Notamacropus eugenii: one gene and its partner. The protein of the gene in region 1 binds, or shares a complex with, the protein of each later gene. Links are inferred from orthologs where the notes say so. Each region holds a gene or a part of one and is shown on either strand. Other genes may lie near its edges.

Region 1 (7,820 bases):
TTCTCATGGTTTCTTCTTTTGGTTCTAACTCTTCCTTACAACATGAATAATGTGAAAATGTTTAATATGAAATGTATATGTATAGCCTATATCAGACTGCATGCTGTCTTGGGGTAGAGGAGAGGGAGGGGGAGAAAATTTAGAACTCAAAATCTTATGGAAGTGAATACTGAAAACTAAAAGTGAATGAATGAAGAGAGGAAGAAATGAGGGTCCTGAAACAGATGTCCTCCAAGGTCCTTTCAGCTTTGTGTAAAAGATAGCTAGGTGCTAGATTTAGGAGTCGAAAACAGATGGGTTCAAATTCTACCTCTGATAATAGCTTTGTGATCATGACCAAGTGACAAAATCACTTTTAGCCCCAGTTTCCTTAGCTGCAAAATGGAAATAATAGTATTTGCAGAGACAGGATGATGGAGTAAGTGCATAGAGAGTTGGCTTCAGAGTCATGGAGATAAGGATTGTTGCCAGCCTTCTGTAGTGGCTGTGTAACACTGGACAAATCACTTAACCTGAGTCCTCAGACAAAAAAAAACTACAGAGCATGCCAGTTCTGCAAGGTTGAGGAAGTCTCTTTACTCTGGGTTCCCTTTACCAAGAAATCATAGAACCGGTTAAAAAAAAACAACCCCCCCAAATTTTGTAGAAATAATAAGGCCTAACAAGGTGACTGACTAAATAAGATGCTATGTGTAAAACCTTTGAAAATCTATATGAAAATCAACTTAAAAAAAAAATTTGTGACTTGAAATTTCTTTGATATAGACAAGTAATTCCCTGTGAGAAACGTCCTCTCTACCAATGCTGATGAGTAATCTAGGAAATTAAGTGACTTGGCCAGGGATACACCAAAACTTGGATACCAGTTTTCCTGAGGATGGCTCTCTATCCACTCTCCTACCATAAAATGCAGTCTCTACTACAATCATCAAAAATATTATCACATCCTATAATGTTTGACTAGTTAAGGTTAGGTCTGAATTCTACTATTCCTTTTTCTTCACCTCAAATGTGATGTAGGTTTGAGTAATGCACTTTAACTACTAACAAAATCCAAGTGTTGTAATTTTCCAAAGAGATCTTAAAAATCTTTATGTTAAGTACTAATTTCAGACAAGGGAATATTTAAATCTTGAAAGGGATTCCACACCAAATCAGTCTCTCTAGATTTTCAGTTCCAGTCAACAATATCTGTTTCATTAAACTTTTTGTATCTGTGGTCCTTTGGATGGCTAAACACACAGGAAAGCGGGCTGGATCTGAGTCAAAATACTAATAATATACAATGTAACAAATATGTTACAGGTATAACGCACTGACGTCCAAGAGCATTTAGAGTTGTATTAATGCACTGTGTTGGTAATATGAGCCATTCTCCAATGTTAGGAAAAGTGCTTCACAAACCTTCAGTGATGGTACAGTGCTAGCTATTATTCCCATTCTCCTTCTGGTCCCCACAAACTCTCTCTTGTCACTAAGGATCACTGTCCAAACCCACATGCAGAATGACTGCACGCCAACCACCTGTATCGTACACACACATTCCGCTCTCCGGGTCTCCCCAGGGGGTGGGGAAATCACTTCGCTTCTGATGATGCACTTGGAAGACTCCTAACGGTTCTGTAACTAACAGTTCAGACAAACAGAGGAGCTCACCAAACAGTCCCTGGAGAACACCCCCAAAGCGCGATCCTCACAAACGCCCAACCCCAAGCTCCCCCAGACAAGGAGTGGCCACAGATCCGTAATAAAAACTTAACTCCAGGCCTTTCAATAGAAACTAGGACCCAAAACCACCTCCAGAATTGGACCAGAACAGAAAAGCCAGACCACACCCCTTACCCACCTAAAGAAGTGGGCTCGAATCAAGGAACCAGAACTGCCGGCCGGGACCCCGCCGACGGAGGCGGGGCAGCTCACGGGGACCAAGGGGGCAGCTTTCTGGGCCGAAAGCGTGCTCCAGCACAGCCGCGCCGGGGCCGGCACCGGGGGGGCAGGCACCCAGGGGGGGCAGCTACGAGAGGAGCAGGCACCTGGGGGGCAGCTCCGAGGGGGGCCGCCCCGAGTCACGTCGGCCCCCCATCTCCTAGGCCTCCCCAAGGGCTGGGTGGGGGTCACTGGCTCCGTTCGACTCTAACCCGATCCCCGGACCTACTGACGCGGAGGGAAGGGCGTCCCCGAGGGACGGTTCTCATCCCAAACGGAACACGCTGCGGCCTGTCCCGGGTGGACGCGGCCTGTCCAGGAGGATCCGGGCGCTAGCCGGGCCTCTGGCTCGGGGGGGGGGGGGGGGTGTCTTCAGGAGCCCACCATGTTCCCTGCTTCGTGACAGGAGGGAGACGGGCGGGGCAAAGGGGGCTTAGCTTCGTGGGGTCCCTTCTCGGAATGACCGTGACGTCAGAAAGTCAAACGTCTACGATTTCGAAGGAAATCCTAAAAACGGCCACAGTTAGCAAAAGTGACATTTTTTTCCAAAACGAGCTCAGGAGCCCCGGGGAGCAGCTTTCGACTCCGAACCCGAGCCCCCCGGGACCGCGTCGGCCTGGCCGGCCGGGCCTCGGCTCCCAGCTCGCCCGTTCCGGCTCCGGGGCCGGCCTGCGGCCTTCCTTCCCACGCCGGGGCTGACAAGGCCTCCGGCCGCCCCACGGGGTCGCTTTTCACAGACTGCCGGGGGTCACGGGGGGTGCATTGGACTTTGGGAGGAGGGGTCCGCCGACTCGGAGGACCCAGGAGCGCCCAGCCGGGAGGCCCCGAGAGGCCCCCGGAAACGTTCGGGTCACCCCGGAGAGTTCTCCCCGGAAGGCGCCGCCGCCCCCTGCCCCATGGGTCCCTCAGACCTCGCGGGCAAAGCCCAGCACGCTCCCGGCCCCGCCGCAGCTCACCTCTAAGCTCCTCCGGCCGACGCCAGCCGCGGCCTCGCCTCCGCCTCCCGCCAAGAGCGCGCGCGCTCCCGCTCCGGAGCGGCCTGGGAGCGCGCGCCTCCGCCGGACCAATCGCGGCGCTCCCGGGCTACGGTCAGCCCGCAGGGACAAAATACTGCGGTCTGAGTGTACCTAGTGCTCTTCGGGAGAGCTTGACTCCCGCTCCTCCCCCCGCTGTTGTAACTGTGGTGGAGCGGCCAGGGGCGGGGCGAAGGCCTGAGGGGCGTGGCCAGAGCGACGAGGGCGTGGCCAAGACCAGCTAGGGGCGGGTTTAAGGTAGGGGAGAGTGCCTGTGAAACACCTAAGTGCAGCTCAGAGGACCCAGAGGGCAGAGGCTGTGGGTGTGGATAATCACGGATTTAGAGTCCTTTGGGATAATAAAACCGTGCGAGAGTTGGAAGTTACTGGGCCAGGGGGAGGGGGGCGGGGTTAAGGCAGCATTCAGTCTCAAGTTTTATCCGCTCACTCACCTAAGATGCCTAGCCCAGAAGGCAGTTGAGGGAGAGGAGGAGGGAGAAGCAAGGGGGGGAGGAGGGAGAAGCAAGGGAGAGGTCAGAGGAGGGAGAAGGAGGGGATACAGAAAGAGGAGATAAAAGAAAGGGGGATAGAGAAAAAAGACTGAAGAATGAAAAGGTAGAAGAAGGGGTAAATACATAGAGGGGAGAAAGAAGGAAAAGGAACCAAGGAGAAAAAATGGAGAAAAAGCGAAAAGCATGGAATGCATGCATAGGGTGCCCACCCACCCACATTGTAATGGTGTCTGTTCTCTCCTGTCTCTGGACTGACACCCTGCAACCTTTACACTAAGTTCTCAGAGAAGAACCACGAAGATGTTGGTTGGTTACATGGACAAGGTTTGGGGTTGCTGGGAATCCCGACATTTCAAGGTTCAGAGTGGTATCTGCCTGGAAAGAATTCATGCATTCAAACCTTCTTCCAGTCAGGTGACAAGGTTTATTGTAACACCAATAGGAGTGGGGGAGATTCTTAGGGAATCTGTACTTTCATGGGGGTGAGATTTACGCTTATATACAAAAAAAAAAAAAGGGACAATGAAAAGATATGGACGCGATTAAGGAGGGGCAAATAGCTTGGGGTGGGCCAGGTGCAATAGTGACAGGAATAAAGTAGTCTGGGATGAGTCCAGAGTGACTGTGAAAGATGGGTCGGGTATCTAAGTGGGCTGGGCTGGGTGGGACTTCGGTGATCTGGGCTGCTAAAATGTATGTGAAAATTCAGGGGCTAAGCTGCTTTCAAAGACATAGTCTTTTGCTTTTAGGATACCAGGTCCCACCACCCTGTCAATACCAGGACTCTCACAGAACCCCCTACTCCTGACTTTAGTCCTCATTCTCCCCTTTGGTGTGCTTCTGTGTACATAAGTAGCCACTAACATTTGGTCTTAAATGTAACTACTTACTTAGCAATAAGACAAAAAGAATGATAGCCTCATAGATAACGCAGTAAAGCAAATACAGAAATCATAAGTCCATCCAAATCCATCTATAAACCTGAGTTACTCTCTCCCACCAAGGCACTCAATATCTAATGGGAAAAATGGGCCAGAAGAACAAGTGAGGAAATCCTCACAAAGAAAGGCTCACAACTCTAGAACCGTAAACACTGGTGCCCTCTTTTTGTCACAGGAACCAATCATAAAAGTTCCTTGATGAAAATAACCTCCGGGTTAAATGCTTCTACTCCTAAGTTGATTCATACTGTTCTTAAGAAAATGAATTAAGTTATGGGATGACTTCACTGATTTGGTGAAGCTCCCAGGCTAGCTCAGCTGAACTTACTCCTCAAGTGCAGCTGTAGTATCCATCACTTCCAGTTTCAGACTTTGCTGATGCTGTTCTCAAGTCTACTTTTCTTATATATCTGCGTTCTATGAGTCTTTTAGCTTATGGTTAGTAATCAAATATTTATCTATATATAATTAGGAAATTTACTTTTGTCATAGAGCAATTTTGGTATCCATATTTTCCTAGTCATTAACCTAAACAGTTATCCAATTTTTCATATACATATATCACTGAAGCTTACTTTCTCTGTCTGCTCCAGTACTTAATAGCTAGTCACATTCAAAATGAGTAAACTGCTGCTTCAGGACTCTCAAAGTAATTTTCTCAGAACTCAGAGCACATCTGTGCCTTATACAAGTGAACTATTAATTTAGGAACTACTTTTTCTCAAAAGCAGACTCATCTTCCAAATACATAAACTGTTATTCTCTTAAAGGGTCACTCTCTTAGAAGAAATAGAGCGAAACAAGAAAGAAGGGAGAAAGAAAACTGAAAGATACTAGAGATTGTTGGGTTTGCCCTTTGTTCTCAAAGAGGACCATGACATCATGACTTGCAGCTGACTTTGATTTGAGTGAGGGAGGGCTCTGCAAGGTCACCAGCCTCACTTTCTCCTCTTGAGCCATCTGGGTCCAGTGGCCTGATATTCATGAGGAGGGCTGGAGATGGCCCCACTGGAGAAAGAAAGAGATTGAGAAAGAGAGGAGAAAAGGCAAGGTCAAATTTTTAACCTGCTGTTGAGGGACTGAAGTGTGGGTAGGGCTAAATCATTAGCAAGTTATTGTTACCATTGCAATAATACTGGGTAAAACAAATGATTTTAGGGGTTTTATGTATTTGTTGAGTGTGGTACTGGTGGGGTATGGTACCTGAACCTCTAAAAAAGGGGAAAGATCTTCAGTCCTTAAGCTTTCTCATACATTTGAGCCCTGGTCTTTCCCCGAGGCACCTGATCCATCTCAGTATAATCCTTTCAACTGTCCTTCCTTTGTGGCGTTCTGACCCAGCCCAACCTTTCATTGTCTGCACCTGCCCATCCCAGGCTATTTGCCACTACTTGATCCCATCCAGATTTTCTGTATGAAAGTTCCAATTTTACTCCTCATTACATTGAGCAGATTCTTAGAATCTTGGCCACCCAACTAGTGTCATAGTAAAACCTCACTAGTCTCACTCGAAAGAAAGCTTGATTAGTCATATTCTTTGGAGGCAGACATGCCCTGTACTCTTGCATTTTGGGGTTCCTAGAACCCCTAGACTGCATCATATTTGGTTCTCTGACCACTACCTTCAAGAACCAGTCCTATTGTTATAACAAGGCCTCGGAAAAGGACTTAATTATTAATGACGTACATTGATTTAGTCAAAAATGTTGCATAGACCATGCACAACTATGGGAATCTAATTTATAAATTTACATGAATTCTTATGTTTACTCTAGTAATATGGGAAATAAGCCAGCAGTTGAGAGCGGAGAATACTCCACTACCGCCTACACAAATTGGATTCCTTTTTTTCTATGCACTTAGCTTAATCAATGGAAGAAAACAAATGCTAGGTTTTGTTTAGGGCTTCCAACAGAGAGATAAGAGAGACTTTCCTTATATTCCCAGCTCGTGGCTGGATTTAAAAGAGGCAGCTTGGTATAATGGAAAGAACACAGAATTTAGTCAGAAGACTTGAGTTTGAATTCTGCCTCTGACAGAATCTGGGGCAAGCTATCTAAAATTAGAATGGGTTGCAATGAGAAGTAGAGGGCTCTTCATTGCTTGAGGTCTTCAAACAAAGACTTGATGACAAATATGTTATACAGTGCAGTTTTTCAAATTTAAGTTGGATTATGTAGCTTCTGAGGTCCCTTCCAGTTCTGACATTCGATGGTTATGTAATACAGTCCCTTTTAGCCTGCATTCTTCTCTCTTAAATGAGAAGGTTGGAGGACATGATCCCCAAGGCTTCTTCCAGTTCAAAATTCTGTAATCCAGTGCTTCTAGATCTCTATCCTCTCCAATCAACACAACACTTATTTTTGTGCGTGTGAGCATGGACCAAAAGAATACTACAATGAATCTTTACTCATTACTAGGCAAAGAATGTGATAGTTTTTCAGAGATTTGGTGTTTGTTTTTTTGGAAGGGAGGAGAATTCTTTTCCTAAATCTATAGTTTGGGATATGAAAACCAGAATCACAGCCAAATATTTATCTTTGCGTTCAGACATCTTTATTTGAAGGTCTTTTGTAATAAGGGCTGCAAATCTCTAGAGCTATAACTAGGGTCAGGTGATTGGAGCTTTGTTTCAGAATGCTAAAATTAAGCAGGAATTGATAGCACTTGCTTGCCTTTAGCAGAATAGAAGCAATTGAATTTAACATCTAGTTAGCAAGGATAAATAGTTAAAATAGGAAGCTACCAGATGTCTTCCCTTGCACACATCATCTCCCCCAGAGGTGGTTTTACATTGTTTCAGAATCTCCACCTAGAGGAAACTGCGCTCTGGGGTCTCTATCTTTCCCTGAGAGAGTGGTATTCTTTCGGAGTCTCTCACCCCACAGACTTAATTCGTCTTTAAAAGTTAATTGAAGGGTATATTTTGTTCCAGTTGCCCTAAGTACTGGAATGGCTAGGAGTCACTCTGCCAATCTTTTCCCTTAGATCAAATACCTGTATGAAGAGTCACTAGCTTTGTCTCTTTCCCCCCTTTTTAGAGATCTTTCAGAAAATTTCCCTGAGATAATCTGAATGTCCCATTCCTGTTATATTGGAAGAAGATATGAGATAGAAAGACAAATGGGGAGGGAGCAGGTAGTCTCCCAAACTCAACAGAAGGTAGCACACTACTCATGCATTTGCGGAAAGAAGAAGAAAACGTGATTGACCCACCTTAAGCCATCAGGGAAGGGAAAACAGGGATCCTTTTTGAGTCTTGAAAAAATAAAATGTTTCCCATAGCACCCTGAGAGGTCTTATGGTCCTTGAGGCAGGTGGACAGGGATCTATGGTACCTATGTGTATAAAAGTAAGTTTTAAAAGAACTTAGTTGCTGTGAGGGTCAAATAATATGATATATGTAAAGCTCTTTGCAATCGTTGAAG
Region 2 (7,803 bases), on another chromosome or scaffold:
TAAACACCCGTTCATGACTTTCATCCAAAATCAAATTGATGGTCTGATCAAAACCTTTCAGTGTTCCCTGCGAAAAGAATAATGAAATGTTTTTAAGTCATCTCAATTTGTAAGTTCAGTATATAATATACAGTAATTCTAGAAAACTAGTCCCTCAAATGCAAATAAGACACATTAAAAAGTCTTTCTAACACTAAAAAATAAAAACAAAAAAATCCTCTATAACTGCCATTATTTCAGGTTATAAAACTCTTTATTAAGGAAAAAAAAATACATGAGTACCAACTGTCTACAGAAAGCTCTGATGTAAGAGCTATATAAAAATATATAAAATATTTTTTGTGTTGGTTACTGTGAGTGTACAGAAGGACAATACACAGTCACTGCACCTTTCAAGAGCTAATATTCCATTAAGTTTGATAAATATTCATTCTGTGCAAGATGATGTGGAGTAGCTAGGGATATAAAGATAAAAGTCCCTGAATATAAGGAATTTATATTCTAAAGGTAACCTAATGAACCCAAATAAAAATATGATATAGTAAGCTTTTTAAAAAAGGACTGGATTAATTATAATTTCTCAAAGGAAAAATGTACTGTGTTTTATAAAATAAGTGGAGCCTGATGAGAAGGTTTCATGGAATAAACTTAATTTTAAAATAAGAGCAAAAAAAAATAAAACAAAAAAAATAAGAGCAAAAAAGAGTTGGCAGAATTTCTGAGGAAATTTAAATTTACGTGGCTCTTGTTAAATGTTTCAATTTATTATTAATTTTCTGTATATTCAGTTTTAAAGCAATGCCAAAAGAAGAAAACTAAATCTAGGGTTTGCAGAAATCATGCTTTAAAAAATAAAAACTAACTAGCAACCAATTCACCTATTGACTAGCTTATCACAAACAAAAAAAGAGCCTATTGGGACATGTATAACTTTTTTAAAATAGCATTTAGGCATGTTTGAATGTAGCAAGTAACATGAACTATATTTCCAAAGATGGGCTTAAGCTGTTTTATGTGTTCTTTGTGTGTAAAATTTTCCAGAAAATATACTTTTCCTTTAATTTTGCTAAAATTAACAAAGAAATATTTTTATCTTGGGCTTTCATAAAAAAATTATATTACTTCATCCACATAGTAATATAGGAAAAATTTAATAAACAAAGTCAGTAAGCAAAATAAAAAAAAATATTTCACAAGAGAAGCCTGGTATTGAAATTTATTTGTCAAGTCTGTAATTCTCAATAAACTTGGAGCTCCTTTGAACACAAAGAACATGCCTAAATGCTATTTTGGAGAGGGCAATTTCACTTGGATAAGGTTGGAAGTCAGATTGCAGAAGGTTAAGAATAGAGTGAGAGGAATGCTGAAGGCAAGTGTTGTATAAGTTAAACAGTCTATGAGAAAAGTCTAACAGCTGACATTAATATAGGACTTAAAGGTTTAGAAAGCCTTTTATATACATTATCTCCTTTTACACATAAGAAAACTGAGGTTTGGAGAGCCACTTGTCTATGGTCCAACAGATAAAAGAGTCAGGGAGAAGGGTTTGGATCTGGGTCTTTCTAATACCAAGACCAACACTGTATCCATAATGCTCAGCTGATGCAGTAAATGTAAAAATATCACACCATCTCATGGTGACACAGGTATTGAACAAATAAAACACTCTGGGATGACAGAATAGTGTAGAACTGAACACTTACCACAATCATTCTGCCATCAGATGTAATTACAGCCACAGTACCTGATAAAACAGGATTAAGGAAGTATTTCTTTAGGAAAGTCCAAATGCTGTAATCTTAAGCCCTGATAAAAAAAACCTGAATTTGACAGAAAATCTGAAATATTACTGTCACAGCGGGTGAACACAGATATGCCAAATTTCCTATATAAAAGGTGGATCTGAAGGTCTGAAAACTCTATAAAAACATACCATTAGAAAAAAAACCCAACAAACCAAACCAGAAAACAACAGTGCTTACAAGAATTTCAATCATACCTTTGGCTTTTCTTTGGGGAAAAAAAATCACTCTTTCAATTATGTGATTCGAGTGTTCTGCCCTAAAACAGCTACAAAGTTTAACTACTCTTACAGGGTATTTTTTCCAACTTTTGGCCCTGTGCCACCTTACAAACAACTTTCCTCACCTAACTCCCTCTACAACTAGCGATGAAAGCCCACAGAAGTTACCAGTAAATGCAGATTCCCAAGCACAAGCCATATGCTCTACTCTGGCACCCACCAGGCAATAAGAATGAAAGATTGAAACCTTGAATGGGCTTTTTCTGGTTTTAATTTAGACGTGATCTCCTTCTTCTTTCTGCCAGAGGTACCCAGGCCCGCACCCAAACATTCGCATCTAGCTCGGCTCGCTGCTGCCAAGGCCACGGAGGGGGCTGGCGGGAGGAGGGAGATGGCCGCTCGGCCCATGAAAAGTTGTTCCTTTTTGGGGGGGCGAGGGAGCGGGGGGCTGCTAAGAAGTAAAGAACCACAATTAAGATCTGCCCCGAAGAGGGTCGGGCCGCACGGGCCCCGAAGGCGAGCACAGCTTCGCCCGCGCAGGATTCCCGAGTCCCAGCAGGCGGGCCAGGATCTCTCGCTCCTCCCCTTCCCGGCCGGCCGCGCCAAGGCCCGCTCCGCTCCCTAGGCCAGAAAACACTGCGCCGCTCCGGATGCCCCGCACAACCATGGCGGGGGAACGCGAAGAGGGGGCGCAAAGCCGCCGCCCCGGCGGCAGCTCAAGGATACGGTTGATGTAGTTTTCCAAAGCCGACGTCATGATGGTCGGGCCGCGCGCTCCGGAGTCTGCGCCAAGCGCCGAGAAGAACAGAGAAGGGAAAAAGGAACACGGCCCGGAAGAACTGCAAACACCCGGACGCTTTCCGTCGGCAAGGAAGCAAGGATCGCGAGAGTAAAGGCTACCGCGGCACCCGCCCCGCCTTCTCCCTTCCTTTGCCTCTCCAAGGAGCAGAGAGCGATTCGTGCGCAGGCGTCCTTTGCGTGTCCTCCCAGGATGCCTCGGTTCCCTGGGGATCACGTGGAGCGGGAGAGGGCGGAGTAAAACGAAGAGAGCCGAAATAAATGGAGACGGGGGGAGCTTTGAGGAAAAGTTAGTTGGAAGGAAAGAAAACAGCAGTGAGATTTTCATCGCATTACAAGTATGAAAGGCATAGAGGTTTATTCACAGAAAGCATGAAGGGTATAGGAATTTAATAAGCTAACGCTTTAAGCTTTGCAAAGCACTTTACAAATGGCATCTGCATCTCATCTCGCCCTGGCAGCCCAGGGAGGTGGGCGTTCCTGTGCCCATCTCTGCCCGCGCGACCCCGGGCAGGCGGCCCAGGGAGGTGGGCGCTCCTAGGCCCATCTCTGCCCGCGCGACCCCGGGCAGGCGGCCCAGGGAGGTGGGCGCTCCTAGGCCCATCTCTGCCCGCGCGACCCCGGGCAGGCGGCCCAGGGAGGTGGGCGCTCCTGTGCCCATCTCTGCCCGCGCGACCCCGGGCAGGCGGCCCAGGGAGGTGGGCGCTCCTGTGCCCATCTCTGCCCGCGCGACCCCGGGCAGGCGGCCCAGGGAGGTGGGCGCTCCTGTGCCCATCTCTGCCCGCGCGACCCCGGGCAGGCGGCCCAGGGAGGTGGGCGCTCCTGTGCCCATCTCTACCCGCGCGACCCCGGGCAGCTCGCACCGTCAGTGTCTCAGGCTTTATCTGACCGCAGATTTTCCTCCCGCCTCCCTTTCCGTCTCCATCACCGCACAGATGTGACGCTTGAGTTGCAGGGACTGTGGTCCTCCCCCCGCCCCGCAGCAGAAATGCAAAGTGTCACCAAACGGGCACAATCTTCCTCAGATTCTAATGCGTTACAGTCAGTGTACTGTCTTACTGGAGGGGGAAAGACATTGCCGTATGGTCGCCTCTTCCTGGCCCCATTTGGGGTTTTCTTGGCACAGGCACTGCAGTGATTTGCCATTTCTTTCTCCAGCTCATTTACAGAAAACGAACTAAGGTAACCAGGGTTGCATAACTCGTTATCTGAGGCTGGATTTGAACTCACATGAGTCTTCTTGACTCCGTCCTTGGCGCTCCATCTACTTCACCATGTGGGTGGTAACTGATACTTGCAACATACGTTCAAAAACAATGATTAGTAGATTAGAACTGGGATATTAGAAGAAATCTGGGTCCAGCCCTTCAGTTTTAGAGATGATGAGAAATTGAGGTCAAGTGATTTGCCCAGCGTTACAGACAGTAAAATGGCAAAGACAAGGGTTCAGCTGACTTTGGAATCCAGCACCCTCTTCCATAACCTACCTCCTAATTTTCTTCATTTTTTCTATGCAGCTTGCCCCTTTTACAGTTGAAAGAATGGACAGAGTAAAGCAAACTTGACCAGAACTACAAAGTAAACTAGTGGAGACCCAGAATTAGAGTCTGGTTGTATTTTATGCCCTCTAGCTGCCTTTGCTACAATGCCATGTAACCCAGTTATGAGAGCTGGCTTCCCAGAGACAGTATATTATTAGTTAGCATTCTTTCTCCATGTACTTATTGAGAACCAGCTTTGTGTAAAGCACAGTAAGGTTCAGAAGGAACTGAAGGGGATAAAGAAAAATAAAAGTTCTTCCCCAATAGAGATTACAAGTTCAAGTACAAGGCAGGTGAAGTATGGTTAAAGAGCAGGTTGTCTGACTGAAAAAGATCTGGAAATTTGAGTCAGTGTCACCATAGTGTGGTTGCAGCCAGAAAAAGGAAAAAATGCTTTTGGGCTGCATCAAAGGAATAACTTCCAGGGATGAGGAAATGGTAGTTCTTCCCCACTCTGCCCTGGTCAGACTGGCATACTATGCTCCCTTATGGTTAACACAATTTAAAAAGTTGCAGTCAGACTTAAACTTGATATAAGGAAATATTCTCTTTTCTTAGAGGTCTTTAAAATACTTGTTCAATATTTTATAATGGGATTTCTTTCAGGTATGGATTGCACTAGATGGCTGCTGAAGTTCCTTCAAATTTTCAAATTCTGTACTTCTGCATTATAGAGAAGAAAGGCATTTAAATAAGTATGGAACATGAATGATATGGTCCAAGCTCATTTCAGCTACTTTTATCTGTGTAAAATTGGGGCAAATTACTTTACTTCTCTGGTCCATAGTTCTTTATCTGCAAAATGAGGTGGTTGAGACTAGGTGGCCTCTAAGATGTCTTGATCAACTCCAGACTCTATGATCTTCCTAATCCCATTTTTTGTTTTCACCATGATCTCCAGTCCTTTCATTCCCACCTAGTTTTCCAGGGCACTGTGGTTTCATTTTTCTCTCTTCCTACTTTGTCCTCTACTGTCCTCTATTCTTGAATCTCTTATCCTTTTATCCTGTTGTTGCCTCTGTCTTGCTAAACCTCAGCCCTTGATTATTCCCACCATCTCCCTCCTTTGCTTCTTTTCATCTGCTGCTGGAGAAAGTCATTCAACTATGTAGACCGAGTTCAATGCAGATATAAATTATCTGATCTCAACTGGGCCCTCACCTACAGCAATACAATCTTTTTACTCATCATTAATTGATTCTCTCTGACACTCCCCACAGAAGCTGTTCCAAAATCTCTTTTCCCCATTTTTATGATAATCTCCCTAGGTTCTCTTTCCTATCTGATTACTTCTTTACTGGATTGTCGTCTATGTCTCACTCCCCTCCAACTCTTGATTGTGCCCCAGGATTTTGTTCTAAAACATCTGGGTCTCTTCTTAACAGATAATCCTCAGATATCCATGCAGATGATGTTTTCTGCAGGCACACTTCTTTATATAACCACAAGAATAATTACTTTATGAACAATTATACTTAGGGCATGTCTTTCTTATAGATTACCTTCTTCTTTTTTAAAGTAAATTTTTATTGATGTTTATTTACATCACGAAAATTTCCCCAATGTCTCCTTCTGTCTTCCAGAGAGCCATCCCATATAACAAATGTCATTTTTATGAGATGGAAAAAAGAGAAATCATCAAAACTGATCAATACGTTGACAAATTGTGAAAATATGTTCCAGGTACCACACTCATGGACTAGCCACCACTCCAAAGAGGTGGGCTAAGAGTGTTTTCTCATATCCTTTCTTTTGGACCATGCTTGTCCTTTGTAATTTTGCAGCAATTATGATGGAAAATGCCATCTACATCCAGAGAAAGAAATATGAAGTCTGAATGCAGAGTGAAGCAGGCTATTTTCTTGCTTTGTTTTGTTTTTTTCATTCTCATGGTTCCTCCCATTTGTTCTAATTCTTCTATATAACATGACTTATGTGAAAATGTTTTTAATAGGAATATATGCATAGAGCCTGTATCAGATTGCATGCTGTCTTGTGGATGGGGGAAGGGAGGAGGGGAGTAAATTTAAAACTTATGGAAGTGGATGTTGAAAACTAAAATAAATTAACTTTAAAAAAGTATACTTCAATCTGTACTCAGTGTTCATCAGTTCTCTCTCTAGTAGTAAATAGCATTTTTCATTATGACTCTTCGGAATTGTCTTGGATCACTGTCTTGATCCCAGTAGAAAAGTTTTTCATAGCTGATCATTGTTACACTATTGCTGTTACTATGTACAGAGTTCTCCTGGTTCTGCTCATCGCACTTTATATGAGTTCTTATAAGTCTTCCCAGGTTTCTCTGAAAGCATTGTGCTTGTCCTTTGTTATAGCACAATAATATTCCGTCAAAATGATATATCATAACTTGTTAAGCCATTCCCCAATGCATTTCCTCAATTTCTAGTTCTTTGCCACCACAGAAAGAGTTCCTGTAATAATGTTTGTATACACAAGAACTTTTCCCCTTTATTTAATCTCTTCGGGAATCCATACCTAGTAGCGGTATTGCTGGCTAAAAGAGTATGCTGTGTTATATAGCCCTTTGGGGGTAATTCTAAATTGTTCTCCAGAATGATTAGGTTAGGTCACAATTCTACCAACATGCTTTAGTGTCCCTTCCTGCCCCTGCCCCCCATCTCCTCCAGAATTTGTTACTTTCCTTTCCTGTCCTATCCTGTTAGGTGTGAGGTGGTACCTCAAAGTTGTTTTAATGTGTATTTCTCTTACCAATACTGATTTAGAGAATTTTTATGTGAGTATCGATGACTTTGATTTCTTCTTCTGAAAACTGTCTGTTCATGTAATTTGTCCATGTATCAACTGGAGAATGACTCTTATTTTATAAATTTGTCTCAGTTCCCTATATTTTTGAGAAATGACTCCTTTATCAGAGAAACCGTAATTCCCTCTCTGTACCCCCTTCCCCCCTGCCAGTTTCCTGTTTTCCATCAAAATTTGGCTGCATTGATTTTGCTTGTGCAAAACATTTTCAATTTCATGGAATAAAAATTGTCCATTTTACTTCCTGCTTGGGTTTATTTTATCTAATGCGACTTTGTTAAAGCTAATTGTTTCAGCTAGTTTTTTGTAGATTTTCTAGGATTCTCTAAGTATACCATCATATCATCTGCAAAGAAAGATAGTTTTATTTCCTTATTGCCAACTTGAATTCTTTTGACTTTGTTTTTTATCTTATTGCTTTAGCTAACATTTTTCCATGTAAAATTTTAAAATACATTTTAAGTTTCAAACTCTCTTTCTCCCTTCCTCCCTTCCTCTTTCATTAAGAAGGCAAGTAATATGATATTGATTATACATATGAAGTCATGCAAAACATTTTTCCATATTAGCCATGTTGCAAAAGAAAAACCAAGAAAAATAAAGTTTAAAAAAGTGTGCTTCAATCTGCTGCATTCAGAGTTTATCAGTTTTCTCTCT

What was found.
Region 2: LSM6 (region 1) and LSM8 share a complex: the UniProt entries of both Homo sapiens proteins name them as parts of the precatalytic spliceosome. The link is inferred for Notamacropus eugenii from reciprocal best matches to the Homo sapiens genes LSM6 and LSM8.

What each region holds. Positions count from the first base shown.
Region 1 is NC_092877.1:143,185,268-143,193,087, reverse strand, and holds the start of LSM6 (U6 snRNA-associated Sm-like protein LSm6), read right to left. Parts: upstream 3,007-7,820; 5' UTR 2,883-3,006; intron 2,077-2,882; exon of another isoform or gene 1,847-2,076; intron 1-1,846. UniProt on the Homo sapiens protein: Plays a role in pre-mRNA splicing as component of the U4/U6-U5 tri-snRNP complex that is involved in spliceosome assembly, and as component of the precatalytic spliceosome (spliceosome B complex).
Region 2 is NC_092874.1:134,579,151-134,586,953, forward strand, and holds the start of LSM8 (LSM8 homolog, U6 small nuclear RNA associated), read right to left. Parts: upstream 3,015-7,803; 5' UTR 2,781-3,014; coding exon 2,750-2,780; exon of another isoform or gene 2,271-2,749; intron 1,745-2,270; coding exon 1,704-1,744; intron 68-1,703; coding exon 1-67. UniProt on the Homo sapiens protein: Plays a role in pre-mRNA splicing as component of the U4/U6-U5 tri-snRNP complex that is involved in spliceosome assembly, and as component of the precatalytic spliceosome (spliceosome B complex).